2 linked regions of the Lepisosteus oculatus genome follow. The protein of the gene in region 1 purifies or fractionates together with the protein of each later gene. This does not show direct contact. Links are inferred from orthologs where the notes say so. Each region holds a gene or a part of one and is shown on either strand. Other genes may lie near its edges. The genes, in order: serine/threonine-protein kinase 38 and MOB kinase activator 2.

Region 1 (7,642 bases):
CCTTCGCTTGTCGTGTTTGAGTTCAGCACAGCAAAAAAAAAATGTCACGGACCGAGCCAAAAAAACTCTTTGAAGACGAACTGAGGTGCCCGCTGTGCTTGGATTTCTTCTCCGAACCGCAGTTGCTCCCCTGTGGACACAACCTTTGCGATTCCTGTGTTCAGAAACTTATCCAGCAGGACTCGGGGGTACCGCGGCACAGGTGCCCGGAATGCCGGAGAGAATTCGACGGGAGATCTGCGCTAAAACTAAACTTCAAGCTCTGCAACCTTATAGAAAGTTTTAAGTCCAGTTACTCGGAGCCTCAAGTGCTTTGTGATACGTGTCTGGGGAACGCAGACCCGGCTGTGAGGACTTGTCTGAAGTGCGAAATCTCGATGTGCGCCCTTCACTTAAAACCGCATTTGGAGCGGTCAGCTTTTAAGAGTCATGTTCTGGTGGAGCCCACGGCGGACCTCAGTGCTCGTAAGTGCCCGCTGCACGAAGAAACGCTGAAATACTATTGTTTTGAAGATAAGACTTGTATGTGTGTGTCGTGCACCGTGGAAGGGGAGCACAGGAATCATAATGTGAAGAGTTTAAAGAAAACCCGTGATGAGCTGAAGGTTGACCTGAAAATAAAAATAAACGACATCACGGAAACCCTGAAACTAGCCGAGGAGCTGTTTGAAAAGGGGAAAGCTTACGCAACTTCAGTCAAGGGTTCAAATGCGCACATGAAACTAAGCGCGACGGATGTTTTTGACCACATAATTGAGCTTGCTAATACGTATAAAGAACGTATCGTGGAAATAATTGAGAAAGAGCATCACGTTCTTGAAATGAGCGCGCAGGAACACGTCGTCGCTCTCAGTGAGAAGCGCGAAGAGCTTCAGAAGATTAAGCGTCAGGCGGAATCCGTCTTGGCCGAGAAGGATGAGTTCTTGTTCATTCAACAGCACCTGGACACCCAGAACAGAGTGACACAGGCCCTTGAGGAATCTCTAAGAGGCCTTGAAGAAAAACCACTGAACAGAAAATTAATCCTGGAGGTCCTGGGTGCAATGTTCAGCCAGTTTCAAGCTGAGGTTGGAAAGGGGCACCAGGCTTTAAGGAATGAGGTTCATCCTGCACAACTCAGTCTGGACCCAGACACTGCTCATCCTCACCTCATCCTCTCTGAGGATCTCAAGACCGTGCGGTACACTAAAGAGAAACAGCCGTACCCAGGGCTCCCTGAGAGGTTTGATCGCTGGCACCAAGTCCTGTCTCACCAGGGCTTCTCGTCTGGAGAGCATTACTGGGAGGTGGATGTTGGAAACGGTGCCTGGTCTCTGGGGATCTCTTACCAGAACATAGGAAGGAAGGGAGACGGAAAAGATATATGTTTGGGAGTGAATGCAGTCTCTTGGGCTCTCAGATGGTGGAATTCTAAACTTTCTGTTTGGCATAATAAGATTTCGACTTTCCTTCCGTCTACATCTCAACCCGCAAAGATTGGGGTTCATGTAGATATTAGTGCAGGGACTCTTTCTTTTCACAGTGTAGCTGATCAGTTGGTCCATATTTATACATTTAAAACTAAATTCACACAACCAGTGTACCCTGCATTTTGGGTTCTGTCTGACGAACCATTGTTCTGGTTAACTGTGAGAAGTGTGTCATCATGTAACTTGCCGAAAGTGGAAGCTGTTCAGTAACACTTTCTAGAGCAGTGCTTTCCAGTCCTGATCCTGGGGGACCTCTGTGTCTTCGGCTTTCTGCGCCACTCAAGTTCTGAATCACCAGCAAATTAGTTTAAGTCTTCAGTTTGAGATCTATTTTTTAAATTTCTGAATTTAAAGACTACCCTATTTCAGGCGTGCCTCCTGATATTTGACCAACTGGACCACAACATGGGAAAAAACTCTGTGTTTTTCCAAAATCAACAGACTGTTTCCAATTGCTACTATGCATGCTTTCTGGAATAAGATATGCACATAACAAAATGTGAGGTTTTCCATCCTAATGCATAAGATAGATGCTTTCCTGATTTAAAACAAGATTTTCTGCATTACAGAAATAGCAGCTTGTGATACATATTCCTAAATGCCTTTTTATCTTAAATTGATCACCTCTTAGGAGCCATCTAACAGATCTCAGGGTAATTAAGCATGTTGAGAAGATGCCTAAAGTATACATTTTTATTAGGTTATATGTCAGAACAAGCAAGGAGACCAATAAAAGGGAAACCAAAGAAGGAAATCAAGATATAACTGTACGTCTGCTTGCGTGCTTTATGTGGGTGGGAGAATTGACTTTTCAGACTCTCCGATAAACAGGGACCTCACAGATCATGTGTGCCTGCTGTCAGCTCCTTATTTTATCCACAAATATAATGTTTGTGTCAGCACTCTCCTGATTCCTGATTATGTCAAGACAAAGGAAGAGTAAGAATAATACCTCGACATAGAGCAGCTCTGTTCATTTCTCATGATCCTCTCTCCCCATCTGTGTGTCTGTGTGTCTCACGGAGAGAAAGCTGGGATATGCGGAAAGACAAATTCCTGATGCAAGCAATTGTATAGGGCTAACAAAGTGATCTGATCTGATCTAAAAGGGGGCTGACACTGATATGACTTTTTTTTTCAGTCTTTCGAGTTGGTAACCAAGGACTTAACAATACTGTGCTTTAATGTTTTACATGACACCATGATGTATTATGTACAATAATATGGTCTATAGACTATTGCTCAAATGACAAAATAAAAGAGAAAATAAACAATCATGAGCTGTTCTTGGTTTTGATTACTACGTCATTGTGAGACCATATGAAGTGGCAGGTCTGGACTAGAAATTGACAGCAAATACTAAGAGGAGATGGGGGTGACGTTACTGTCAGACAGGGCTTCCTAAATCTAGTCTTGGGGGTCCCCCAAGCTGGTGTTTAGGACAGCTGGACTCTCACATACATAATTCAGCCCTTGATTGACCTATTAATGGGATTCATTTCAGCTCTTTGTTTTTAGCTCTTAAATGGTTTAAGGGTTGCCAGATCCTCATTACTGTGGTTCGTGAGTAACACAGAAGTTGGAAGCTTTTTACTGGGGAAAAAAAGATTGCAAAAATTAATATCAAGGAACCGGTTAAGTCTGTTTAATAAAGTTACAACTTCGGAGGCAATGGAAGCCAGTGGGTGTGTGGACTTTCAGGACCTGGAGTGGGAGTTCAGTAAGTGAATGCTGGAACTTATCATTCAGGCGCTAATCGCGAAGCCTTCATGAAGAAAAAATCCGGATTTCTAGTTCTGCTCCAGGAGAGACCCAGTCCGGCAAGGCCTACAGTTTAGAACGTGCAGAAATTCGTCTGTGGTGCTAAACAAGGAAGTCTCAATTTTATTCGTCTTTATAACTTTAACTTTAACTTCTTCCGCCGCAAGAGGTCACTGTAAGGACACGCAATGCAATGTTGTTATAACAGAACTCGGAATGTTGAAGAGGCTGGTTTTTGGCCTTTTCATAATTTTGATAAACGCATAAAGCGCATAGAGACTTTACGTGACCTCATAATCCCTAGACACTTAGAGATACAACAGGATGACAATAATAGAAACCTCTCTGTAAAGAAATCACATTAAATGCTTTACTGCATGTACTGTAAATGCTTTGCAGTCTAGTCTAAACACTTTCTCGGAATGTTTTTGTGAGTGTCTTCCTGCGTTGCAATTTTCTTTGTAAAACGTCAACTTTCAGGTTTGGTAAATAACTTCCTGAAATGCTCGCTATTATTAGCTGCAACATTGCTGTGTGTGCTAGACTGTCCCCTAGCAAGGACTGCGTTACATGTGCGCGGATGATTGTGACTGCATACGAAATTAGGTGCGAATTTCATCAATACAGCAGTGAAAATTGCGTTTGAATGAAATCTGATAACTTTAAAAATCATATTACTGCTTCTTTGAAATAATTTAATTGTATATAACATGCTTCACAGATACCTTAAAACCTTTAGTTTTTAAAACCTTTTGAAAGCAGGGATCTCAAATTGGGCTTCAAAACCAGTCCAGTGATTTCTCAGCTTTTTACCAAACGTGTAATATTTATATTAATTGATACAAGTTTAAAGTGTTTAGTTTAACCGCTAAATGTACTACGTTGTGATGTGACGCCTGCCTGAATCTCTCCTATTTTCCCGTGCCTTCGACTAAACGCTATCGAGGCGTTTGGAGTCCGTAGAGAACGTCCGTAACTTGTCACCCCCAATTTACCTGTGTGTAAAACCATTCATAGTCGAGCTCATCTGATTTGCGCATACGGTGCATCTCTGAACTCGCAGATCCGTCATCAGTTTCATTATTAACCGTACCGTTTTTCGTATAAATTAAAAAAAAACAGAATTGGATATTCATTTTTAACTGGTGGTGGGATGTCTCATTCATTTACAAAGGGAGCCGTCCTGTTTTGAAAAGTCCTGTCGGTCCCCAGTGTGTACACAGCATTGCTTAATAAAAAAGGCATTTAAAGAAAGAGCCCAGCCAGGACGCCTAGCGCTCTCTGCACGTCATCACGTCGAGTAGCGACACAGGGGGAAGCGGACAGAGGCGAGCCGTGAGCCTGGGGCCGAGCAGGCGGAGGTGAGTGCACTTAATACCGTAAAAACTGACTCCCGAAGGGGCAAATACCCCGGTTTACACACACACAGATGTTATCTAAGGCAGTTCGGCTTCGGTCTGACCTAAAACGGCGATCTTGTTCTTTCTGCAAGGGCCGTTTTGAGAACTTTTTCTCAAGTAACCGTTAGCCAAGTGAAGTCTGGTGTTCTCTTTTTTTTCCTCCCAGTTTGTCTGTGGTAGAGAGAGTTGCTCTACCTGGGTAGCGTTAAAAAATGAAAACTGAAACTGCTGCTTATTCCTGTGCTTGGGAAAGGCGCGTAGGGCTGCTGAGCTATTTGATTAAATTAACGCTTTTTAAAATGGATACAATTGCCGTTTTAGGAAGGTGTAGTTACAGATCGGTGTGGCGAGAGAACAAAGCGCCTGTCTTGGCTGTTAGTAGGTGACTATACTGCAGGACGGTGAGCTACTGTAAGTGTAACGTATACTTACAAATGTGAAAGTGAAGGAAGTTGTTAATCTTGTTAAAATAAGCTTCTTAAAACGTCCACTTTCTTCATGCGTTTAAGTATTGCACCTTTCCAGTTATAGCTTTTTATCCTCCTTTGACACGGATGGAAATATTGACCCTGTCGTTGTTTATGTGGGTTCGTGCAACTTTTTTTAGCCTCTAACTTGACAATTTAGACCAGGCGCCTGCCTTAAATACGCCGCTGTTGTGTTGGTGTTACTTGGGTGTAGGTGACGCCTTTGTTCAAGAAGGGTTTAAACTCGAGACAGTATCGAACTGTAAATGAATTCGTAAATTTACAGACCAACCTATAGTGTAAAGCCTCAGAAGGTAAAACTAAGTACAGTGTATAAATGCTACTGCAGTAGGTCGATGAATCCTATTGTCTCTGCGGGAGGTCCTTGAAAGAGGTCTATGTGATATTTTCCTTTTCTCCGTGTTCTTTAACTGTAAGGCTTGAATGGGCTTGAATAAGTTTAAAGATAATAAGTTGCAACAAAAGGGGGATTGTGTTGCAGTAGCGTCAACCGTAGCCTCGGTTTTATAACTTAGCCTAAAAATGCGTCTGAGCGATGCATGCTTCTGACACCAACCACACCCAGCATTTTAAAGAGCATAATTTTCTTTTCTCTTTTTTGTTTCTCAGAGCTGTGGTAATTTAATAAATGAGTTCGCAGAGAGGCTCGTTTTAGCTTGTTTAAAGTGGGGGCTGTTAGGTCTTTGCAGTAACGTTGTCCTGCGCACACGTTTCTCTGATACTGTATGCATACGTGACTGTACATGTACTGTATGTATATAATTTGTACGTAGGACGTCTGTCTAATTCACAGACGAGAAGACAGGCTGTGAAGGGTTTAGAGGAATAGTACTCACGCCTAGTGTTTTAGTTCTTTTGTGCAGGAATGGGTTAAATGGATTCAGTGCGTTCAGAGGAGGAGGCGCTATCAATTAAATATACTTAAAGTAGGTTTTAAACTTGGTAATTGAAGGAAAAGGAGAGAGCAATTACTCAAGTTGTCCGTTATGTAATGACGTTATATTTATCATAAACTGCACGAATTTAGATAGCGCGTGTTAGCTGGAGGGTTATTTCAAATATTAGAATAAAGAGCAGGAAAGGTTGGCGGTTAGTATTTATTGAACATTCATATGGCTTTTTTATCCTCCGGTTAGCGCGGTAACGGTACATCTGTGTCCCAATACTGCTCATCACGCCGTGAACTGGCGGGACAGGTTTTGGTCTGTACTGTGCGTCCTGATCTAATAGTTTCACTTGCATATTTACGTTTATGCAAGTCGATATTCTCGAATCTTTGTTATTTGATGCAACTACGATGAAGCGAACATGCTCTGGAAGCAGACTGCATCTAGCGGGTTTTGTCTGGACCGTGTGAAAGTGTTCATTTGTCGTGACACTTAACGTTGCGAAACATAACCGCGGCTCCTTCAGAACTTGTTTCCCACGTTTGCATTAAATATCTCATCTTCCTCTGGTTCAGTACTACACATACACATGCTTAAAATAACTTTAAAGGGCGCCGTTGTCTCACTTAACTGTATTTTTAGACTTGTTTAAAGACGGTACAGTCACCACTCCATTTCTGATAGGTTACTGGAGGAGTTAATTTTTGTTTAGTTTATTTATAGTTTCATTGTTTTGTGTCACCCATGATATTGAAACTTATTTGTCCAGCAATATAAACTTTTTTTTTCTCTCCGCATTAATGCATGTCAGGTATATTCACGAAATTAAAAGAAAAACTTTATCAGAGCACATATTAATTTCTGCACCAGCTGCCCCACCTGGGCGACACACAGCGGCCATTCTGTACCAACAGCCCCAGTGCACAGCAGATCAGGGGGAGGAGTGAGAAAATACTTTTAAATTACGGGGGCTAATGTACAGTCTGGCCTCACTACAAACCAAAAAACTGTGGCGACGCCCCTGTTCTCCCGAGCAGTGCCTGTGATCTTCAGTGACACAGGAGTCAATTCCTTGGTGTCGTGTCACAAGGTGGTTTTTTAGCGGATCCCCTCCTGCTTCCTTTTCCAATCTGATTAGTGCAGGATGAGTGAGCTTGGACTTTCCAAGAGTTTTTTTTTTTAATCCCTGTTCTAAATTTGGGGATAATGGTCCAAGCCATTACTGACCACAAATCATGAGTGAGTTCAAACCAAAGGCCTGTGCCAGAAGCAGTGCACTTTCTTCTGATCCAGCCACAACCTTCCCAGCTCCAGGCGCAGCATGTATTTACCTGCGAAGTGGAGCAAAATGTACTTGCCTTTGAGATTTCTACTGTCCGCCAAATTCGACTGGAAGATAAGTGGCCGGTATGTGATTCTTGTTTTTTCGTGGAGTAGTTTTTCCACAAGCCATAAAATGCAAAAATGTTTTTTTAATGTAATTATGAGCGGGTTGTGTAAATGTGTTGTGTAAATTTTTTAAAACTCTTTCCTAGAGTGCATTGCAACTGAGAATCACACTTGTTTTCGGTCTTCTCAGCAGGGCGGTCGTAACACTTTTCCAACAGACCGTCCAGGTTACAGACGATCCTGTCTGG
Region 2 (7,417 bases), on another chromosome or scaffold:
GAAACAGCATGGAGGCCAGGGCTCTCCTTAGCCCCACTATGCACAGCATTTAGTTATTAACACACTCTTACAGGATTCACAACACATTCCTCACCAACAAACCAACAAGCTTGTCAGAACTGAATTCTGCCTCATCCAGTATACTCCTCACTGGTTTAGGCGAGTGGTTATATAATGAGGATTCTAGGCTTCTGGTTGCTACACCTGAGAAGGCACACATGTCTGCTTGAGGTCTCAGCTGGGAACCTCGACACGGACACACCGGAGTGATCCAGTCTGCTTACGCCTCCCAGCTGTAAGATCAGTAGGAGGTGGCTGCCCACAGCCTGCTTGTATTAGGGCTGCGGAGCATTCCCATTACCCACCTTCAGGAATAATTCATCTGCACTGGACTCGGAGGAAGATCAATCCAGAGAAACAGACAAGCAGCCACATGCTGTTCTGGCTCAAGCACAACTCCAGAATCTAGCGGGTAGGTGCCATATTCCCTCTCCTGGTAAACTGTACCCGGAAGCACACATTGTTAAGCACTCCTGGGGTAAAGACCGGGGCATGATCAACATCTGAATACCTTCCGGGCTAGCGAGAGAGGCCTGGGGCAGCATCCACAAAGCCAGGCCCACTCCACACAGCGCGCTCCAGCTGTTCTCAGCCCTGTTTGCCACGTTTTGATCTCCTTGACTCCTCTCACCAGCACTCCAACTCCTTCCTGTATATCCCCATTGAGCCTTTATGATGGTAACGAGCGACTTGCCACTTAGCAGGTCTTTCAGGCAAGGGGAAAGCAGGGGGTGGACAGCGCATCGACAGCGGCCGCATTCACGTGCAGAAGAACCTGGCTTCACAGCTCCCATGCGGGAACCTGCGCATGGTGACACACAGCAGGCTGAGGGCATCACTGAGCTTTCCACTAATCAAAGTGTCTCCGGTCTTGCAGTGCAGCAGGTTGACTTGAATGTGGGAAGCATGAGATGGTTCCCATTCGCTCATATAAAGCAAGGTTTCCTCTTTCCTACAACGCTCAGATTCCACCATAAAGCGATCATTCCAACTCCAAGTTGCAAGACTTGCATTTCTTCAGCAGTGGTGCAAACCGGAGCCTTGACCTGCTCCTCACCAAGCACTGCCCAGAACCCACCGCTCGAGCAGACACGCTCACACAAGACCGACTGGAACGGCTTCCAGATAAGGGGCCTGAGGAGACGCACTGCTGCGGAGCCTACACTCCCAAGCCATAATTGCTGAAAGGCAACCAACCTGACTTAAGTAAAAGGGCAAGTCAAGGAGACCAACGCATCTGTCTGTAAATGCTAACTTGGCAGCAGGTCTAAAAAGAAAATCAGCACTCTATTCTGACTAAAAGAACTCAACTCCTCCTGTGGAAAATCTGTGTTTTTCAGGGATTTAAAAACATAGAAAAGCAATCCCTAGGTGGAGCAAACAGATTAGTGTTAATATGAGATGGTTAGAGCATGTTCTGGATGTGTTCGGGGGATCCCAGCCTTAAATCCTTAAAACCCCGGGCACGTAATTCAAGGAACCAGCAGCACGCATACCACAGGGCTCCCTTCACAGCAAGTACCAAACTTTCACAAGAAATCGAAATATTCTAGCACATTTTAGGTTCCCACACCAGAAACTACAAAGAACATTATAGCAGCTGAAACTTAAATATGAATACGAATACAGCTCTCCTAACCTTAATGGGGACAGAACAGACAACTGCACATTGCAGAGACAGTATCCTGAAGAAGGGACACCTGAAGAAGGCTTTTCTTCTCTTTTCAGCAGGGAATAAACCTCTGCTTGTTCCTTAGTATCCGAATTGTACAACCGGCTGGCTTCACAACTCTGTTAACAACTGTAACAATTACATCTGTAAGACGAAAAAGACACAAGAGTGTCTTAACACTATAAAAACAAATAATGCCTAAAGAGGTGTAAGACCAATAAGCTCAAATTACATTGGTTTGCAGAGGACCACTGACCTATCTTAGAATAAGAAGAAGGATAACACAAACACATTTTAAATTGGGAAAAAAATGAAGGCTACTCCAGCTGCTCGCTGGGTTTTTAAAGCTTCAGTACGTCTGTCGACTTTAGTTTCCAACAAGCATCCGTCCTTTCAGATGAAACTATGCAGGTCTGTCTGGAGCAAGGCGTGGGTTCTCAGAGGTAAGCGCACTTTTCCAGTACGAAGTGCCCCACCTGAAGCCAGAGGCTTCGGGCGATAAAAACTCCCGCAAAGCGGCCCCGGCGCGGCTATCTGCGCTGTTGTGAACGCGTGAGGGTATTTCCTTTCCGTGTCCACACCGAGTTTCTCACGACAGTCAACGATAGGACAACGAATCCGGGAGTGTTGTGGATTTTTTTTTTTTAAAGTGACAATCGCGACGAAACATTTCAAATAAGGAGGTGTTGCTTAAAGAGCCATCGAAACCCAAACATGGAAAAATATCCGCGCATACTACTATTTCCATATAAAATAGCACGGGCAGAAAAAAACCAACAGCAACCCAAAGAGCTTTGACTGCCAAGACATCCGAGCCCAGCTGTTTTAAAATAAGCGCCTGGCAGCTCAAAGTTTTTATGCAGGGATCATCTCAACAAGTCGCACGGGAATCGAAAAACGTCATTTTAACAACTTACTCCACCGAAGGCACACAAAAAAAAGAGAGAGGGAAAGGGTCAAGTTAACATCCCAAACAAGATCGGGAAAGGATCGCGTTGTCCTCGGTTTCATACCCCCCATCAGGAACAGGGACTTTGATCCACACGCCGCCGCTGGCTACAACAACAGCTTCACAACTGCTCAACACACAACAGAAAACAATACCCGTTCATCACAACAACAGTTCGGTCTTTACCTCAAAACCTTGCCAACCGCCTGAAGTACCATTTTGCAACTTAATCCGCCTTTGGGAGTCCTCTGCGAGTGCTTTGCCGTACTGTCTCCCGAATGAGTACAGTGATCACCGACCATGGTAACGCAAACCGCGCAGAAAAGGATACCTCCCCAGCCGCTCGGCCTCTCCGACTGGCTTGAACACCAAATTGCCCTTTCTTTGCTAAGTACGAGAGCCAGATTCATTTCTGCGGTTCCGTCTGGGCCGGCCTCCTCGGGTCAGACCGCCTATCACCAGAGAGGGCGGGCGGAGCTCTGAGGGACCGGGGGGGCGAGAAGGAAAAGCTTCCTGCTCGCTGTGAAACCTGTCCCGGGTCCAGTCCTGAAGGCTTTGTCTCTGTAAAATAACTGCCACAGGGAATATAATCCATTCACTTACAGTAACTGTCATTGCATTGTCACTGCATGCCACACGACGCCCACAAACACCCGCTATAGTCTTCCTGTTCTGGGCGATCAAGCTACAAACGTGACATTTTCTCGCCCTACACCTCAGTCGGGTCATTAGGAAGGGTAAGTGCACCGCACTGACATTTCACCCCCTGAGACGCGACATTTACCGACTGGCTGGAATTGAAACAGAATAGTGTTTGTCTGGAGCTAACAACGCTGTTCAGTTCCTTAAAAATATTGCTCAACAAGTAGGGGGAAAAAAAATAACAACTTTTGACAGGTTGGAAACAAAAATTACATTAATGAAATGAGCTGCAATAAAAACAGCATTTTAAATCCCTGGAATTCTGTCTCATATGGAATATGTACGTTAAGGTAAAGATGCTAAAATAATTAATCGCAGTAATTCATCACGGATTACTACTTTGACTCCTCCGACGGCTTTATTTTCTGCGGTGGGACACCGGTCGCTTTCACATGCGACTTGCTGCGTTTTTAAAGCCCGGATCCGCCAACAAGCACCACACGAGAATCGGGCTGTGGGCATGGTCCCCAATCTTTGAAAACGAATTATAGGTTCATTCTCAATTCAAAAGGTTGGGCAATTCAAACCTAGAAAATGTTATTTTCCTACTGTGTCAGGGAGCCAATTTCAATAAGAAACAAGATCATGATCAACAGGTATCTATCTGCACAATATGCTCTTATAAACAAACTCCGTGTGCAAAATATCTTGCTTTATTGTCATAAGAAGCTGCCTGATGTTATGCATGATAGGTTATCAAGCCAGAACTGGATTGTTCCGTGGAAATTCCACAACACGGGACCCGCAGGCGCAGATATGTTGACGGAAGTTTTTCCATTTCAGGGAAATGCTGTTGAATAAAAAAAAAGGCAATAAATCCTGCACCGCTCACTACCAGCTCTACAGAAAACAGGTGTGCGAGGTGTTGGTTAGATTCCAATTAATTTGAGCTCAGACGAGAAAATATTGTTTTCCCATCATCAAGGAAGTTGGAGACGCGGCAGTTTATCCGCCGCGAGGAAGGCTGGATATTTTGATCAGCTATCTGTAATCCGATGTGTTTCCAAATAAAAAAATGTAACAGTCATGACAAAACATTTCATGAACAGGGAAGGGACACTTGAAACCTGGATTTAAACTCACCGATAAGTACAAATACATTTATGAGTTTAAGCCCCAGAATCGCCGTACTTCAGAAAACCCGACTCTGGTCTGCTTTATGTTTGAACACAAATTGCATTTGGTTGTATAACGCACTTCGCGTGCTTCCGCTCGACACGAAGCGCAAGTCAGGGATCTGAAAGATGAATTCAGAGATTTAATGGATTTTCAAATTCGGACGGTTTAACTTAAGACACTGGAGGTATGTCTCAGAAATCTAAAAAAATCTGTTAAGGTGCCTGAAAGTTGAAAGTTTAGAGCTGGTTCAGTGTACTATAGGTTCAAAATGCCATCAAGTTAGGCCATGAAAGTTTTAATTTTCTCAAATTAAAAATGTAATAAAATTTTATAACACTTCACTAATTAAAAAGTTTAAACGGTTTTTAGTATTCAAGTGGACCAAAATAGTTTTTCTGACTTTTCTGTGATGCTTGTAAAATTAACATGCACAGGTTCTACTGCAATCTAGATTAGAATTTAAAAGTTACTACGTTTTGTTTTGCCATCTTTAGAAGCAGGAATGCAATCCAACTGATTTAAAAACTCCCTATGCACAAAAAAATCACCTAGAGGTTTAATAAGTTTCAGTAAAGTAGAACACATCAGTAAATATTGGTATTATCACCTGCATAGGTAATCACTAAAGGTATGTAACAGCATCAGCCAAGAAAATCTGCAGTACACCCCTAAAACAGTCCTCAGTCACAGACAGGTCCCAGAAACCTCTGTGAAGCAGTTTGTGCTGACTGAGGAGACAGATACGGAGAGGAAATGCCTCGAAGGGCTGCCCTGTGCAGTCTTCCTCTCCCTCTGCCCTCAGCGATCTTGCCTTTGGACACAGCTGGAGAGGTCACACGAGCCCAGTTCCCCCTCCCGCTCCTCCTGAGCTTGAGCTGAAAAGACTGACTTCCCCGTGCTGGTGCATTTCAATGATGTCTGAAATGCATCAGAAGACTCTCCTCCCTTCAGGTTTTTTTTTATTGTAAAGGGAAATTATTTTACATGCCAAGAGGAAGCTGAGAAATGCAAAATCGTACCAACAATCATCACGCAAAGGATCAATAAATAACTCAACATATACAAAACAGACTCTTCGCAGTTAGACTTCTGATTTTTTTTCCCCATGTACCACCTTCTCGTTGCTTGCGAAGGGAGTTGCCGTGCCTGGCCAGGACTGTACTTACAACAGGACAACGCAGGGCTCTACTGCTCAAACACAGAGGGCCTTCAGTCTCAAGTGGAGAAGCAGTCTGGAATGTAAAAGAAATGCAGCAGCTTTGTTCGCTCTTACAGTTCAAGTGCTTGTGCCACGCAAGCTCTTGTGTGAACAGTCACACTGTGGACGTTAAGAAAGGCACAATTTCCAATCACAGAATAAACTGTGATGCCTGGGTAGCTGCTGTGCGCCCAACAACACGTTTACTGTATTTTTAAGAGCAGAAGAAGTATGTTGTAAGTTTAGGGCAAGAAATCAAGAATTTTAAAACCAGGCTGCGAATATCTACAGGCAGCCTGTCAGATAGGAATCTTAACTTGTCCTAAAGAGCTCCGAGAAATGGGAGTTTACTTGAAGCAACTGGGTTTCAAGCTAAAGACTCCCAATTAAAAAATGGCAAACTTGCCAGGAAGCTCTTCTTAGAAATGAAAACCTTTCACAGAAAAGCAGATGGCTTGTGACCACTCGAATCATTAAAGATATTTACTGCAACGTTCCAGCATTACAATAATTCAAACCCATGAACTGCTTTATATCCAATTAAATCATTTACGTGGGCAGGAACATAACAGGAAACAAAGCAGGATTTAGAAAGGAACACTGAATTACTCACAACATAGGAGCCTGGTGAGTAATCAACGATGAGACCGTGGAGTCACAGCAGCTCTGAACAGAAAGTTTTTCTAATCGCAATTAAGAAATGTGACCGACTTTAATATTCCAGAATTTACGGTATTTGATCTGCTGAGAACACGTCTCGACAAGCACAGCCTAGTCTTTGTTTTCCACAGACAACGCCGGGTCTGGCTCAACAGGTTGACGCTGAAGAGCCATGAGCCAGCAGGTAGAGCACGACTCGGGAGAGATGCTCATCGCTGGCGGAGAAGTGACTCAGTCCGCCGACAGCAGTGCTGAAGGAAGAGGAGCCACTGCCCTCCTGTGCACCAAGCCCAGCTGCTTTCCAGCGTCGGCAGTCAGATGTGCGTTTGTGTCACCTATGAACTTCACCGCAACTGACATTTTCCTGTTAAAAAATGCTGCCTCTTTTTCCTTCATGAGAAATCACACCCTGATGCCCCAGGAAAGGTGAAGCTTCTATATTTGATGGAAGCAAGCACAACGCAGGCAGCTGCAAGTGTATAACCCAGCTTATACAGTACTCTACAGTGCAAGGCCTAGGCTGTGGAGCTGTGTGTGACCGGCTTCTTACACTTGCCATGGATGTGAAATGGATCAAAGAAGTGTTTCTACTGCTCGTGATGGTTATGGACCTCTTCATTCTTCTGAATTGGATTTCTGGAAATCTCTAACCTAACCCACCCTCATCATCAAAGCAGATAAGTAGTTTAGAAATAATGCAGACGAATGCCAATGCAAACCTCAATGCAAGGGCACGTTTCTTTTAGTCCCCACCTCCCATATCTTTCTTATTGTAAGGAATGATTTTTTCCATGTGTTAAAGCACTAAGGCTTACTATGCTCTGGCTGGAAACTACATCACAATCAGGCTGTGGCCATATCTGAGCTCAAATGGGGGCATCTGTACTCTCTAAACCTAAAGAGACGACAACAGCGTACAACACTGAACTGATACTGTCTGTAAGACACGGTTCTGTTGCCAGGAATCATGCGAGGGTGTGAGACATCAGGCCTGTAACTACTTTTGAGAAGGAAACGGAAAATTCCCCCAGCGTGCACAAGAAATGTGAGGAACTTG

Evidence for each region.
Region 2: the proteins of serine/threonine-protein kinase 38 (region 1) and MOB kinase activator 2 purify together in Homo sapiens (affinity purification with mass spectrometry; 7 studies listed by BioGRID and IntAct, with this or other methods). This does not show direct contact. The link is inferred for Lepisosteus oculatus from reciprocal best matches to the Homo sapiens genes STK38 and MOB2.

What each region holds. Positions count from the first base shown.
Region 1 is NC_090700.1:36,873,177-36,880,818, forward strand, and holds the start of serine/threonine-protein kinase 38, read left to right. Parts: upstream 1-4,483; 5' UTR 4,484-4,591; intron 4,592-7,642. Other genes in the region: tripartite motif-containing protein 16-like, read left to right, coding at 42-1,679. UniProt on the Homo sapiens protein: Serine/threonine-protein kinase that acts as a negative regulator of MAP3K1/2 signaling. Converts MAP3K2 from its phosphorylated form to its non-phosphorylated form and inhibits autophosphorylation of MAP3K2.
Region 2 is NC_090716.1:13,589,389-13,596,805, reverse strand, and holds the start of MOB kinase activator 2, read right to left. Parts: upstream 3,083-7,417; 5' UTR 2,984-3,082; coding exon 2,868-2,983; intron 1-2,867. UniProt on the Homo sapiens protein: Stimulates the autophosphorylation and kinase activity of STK38 and STK38L.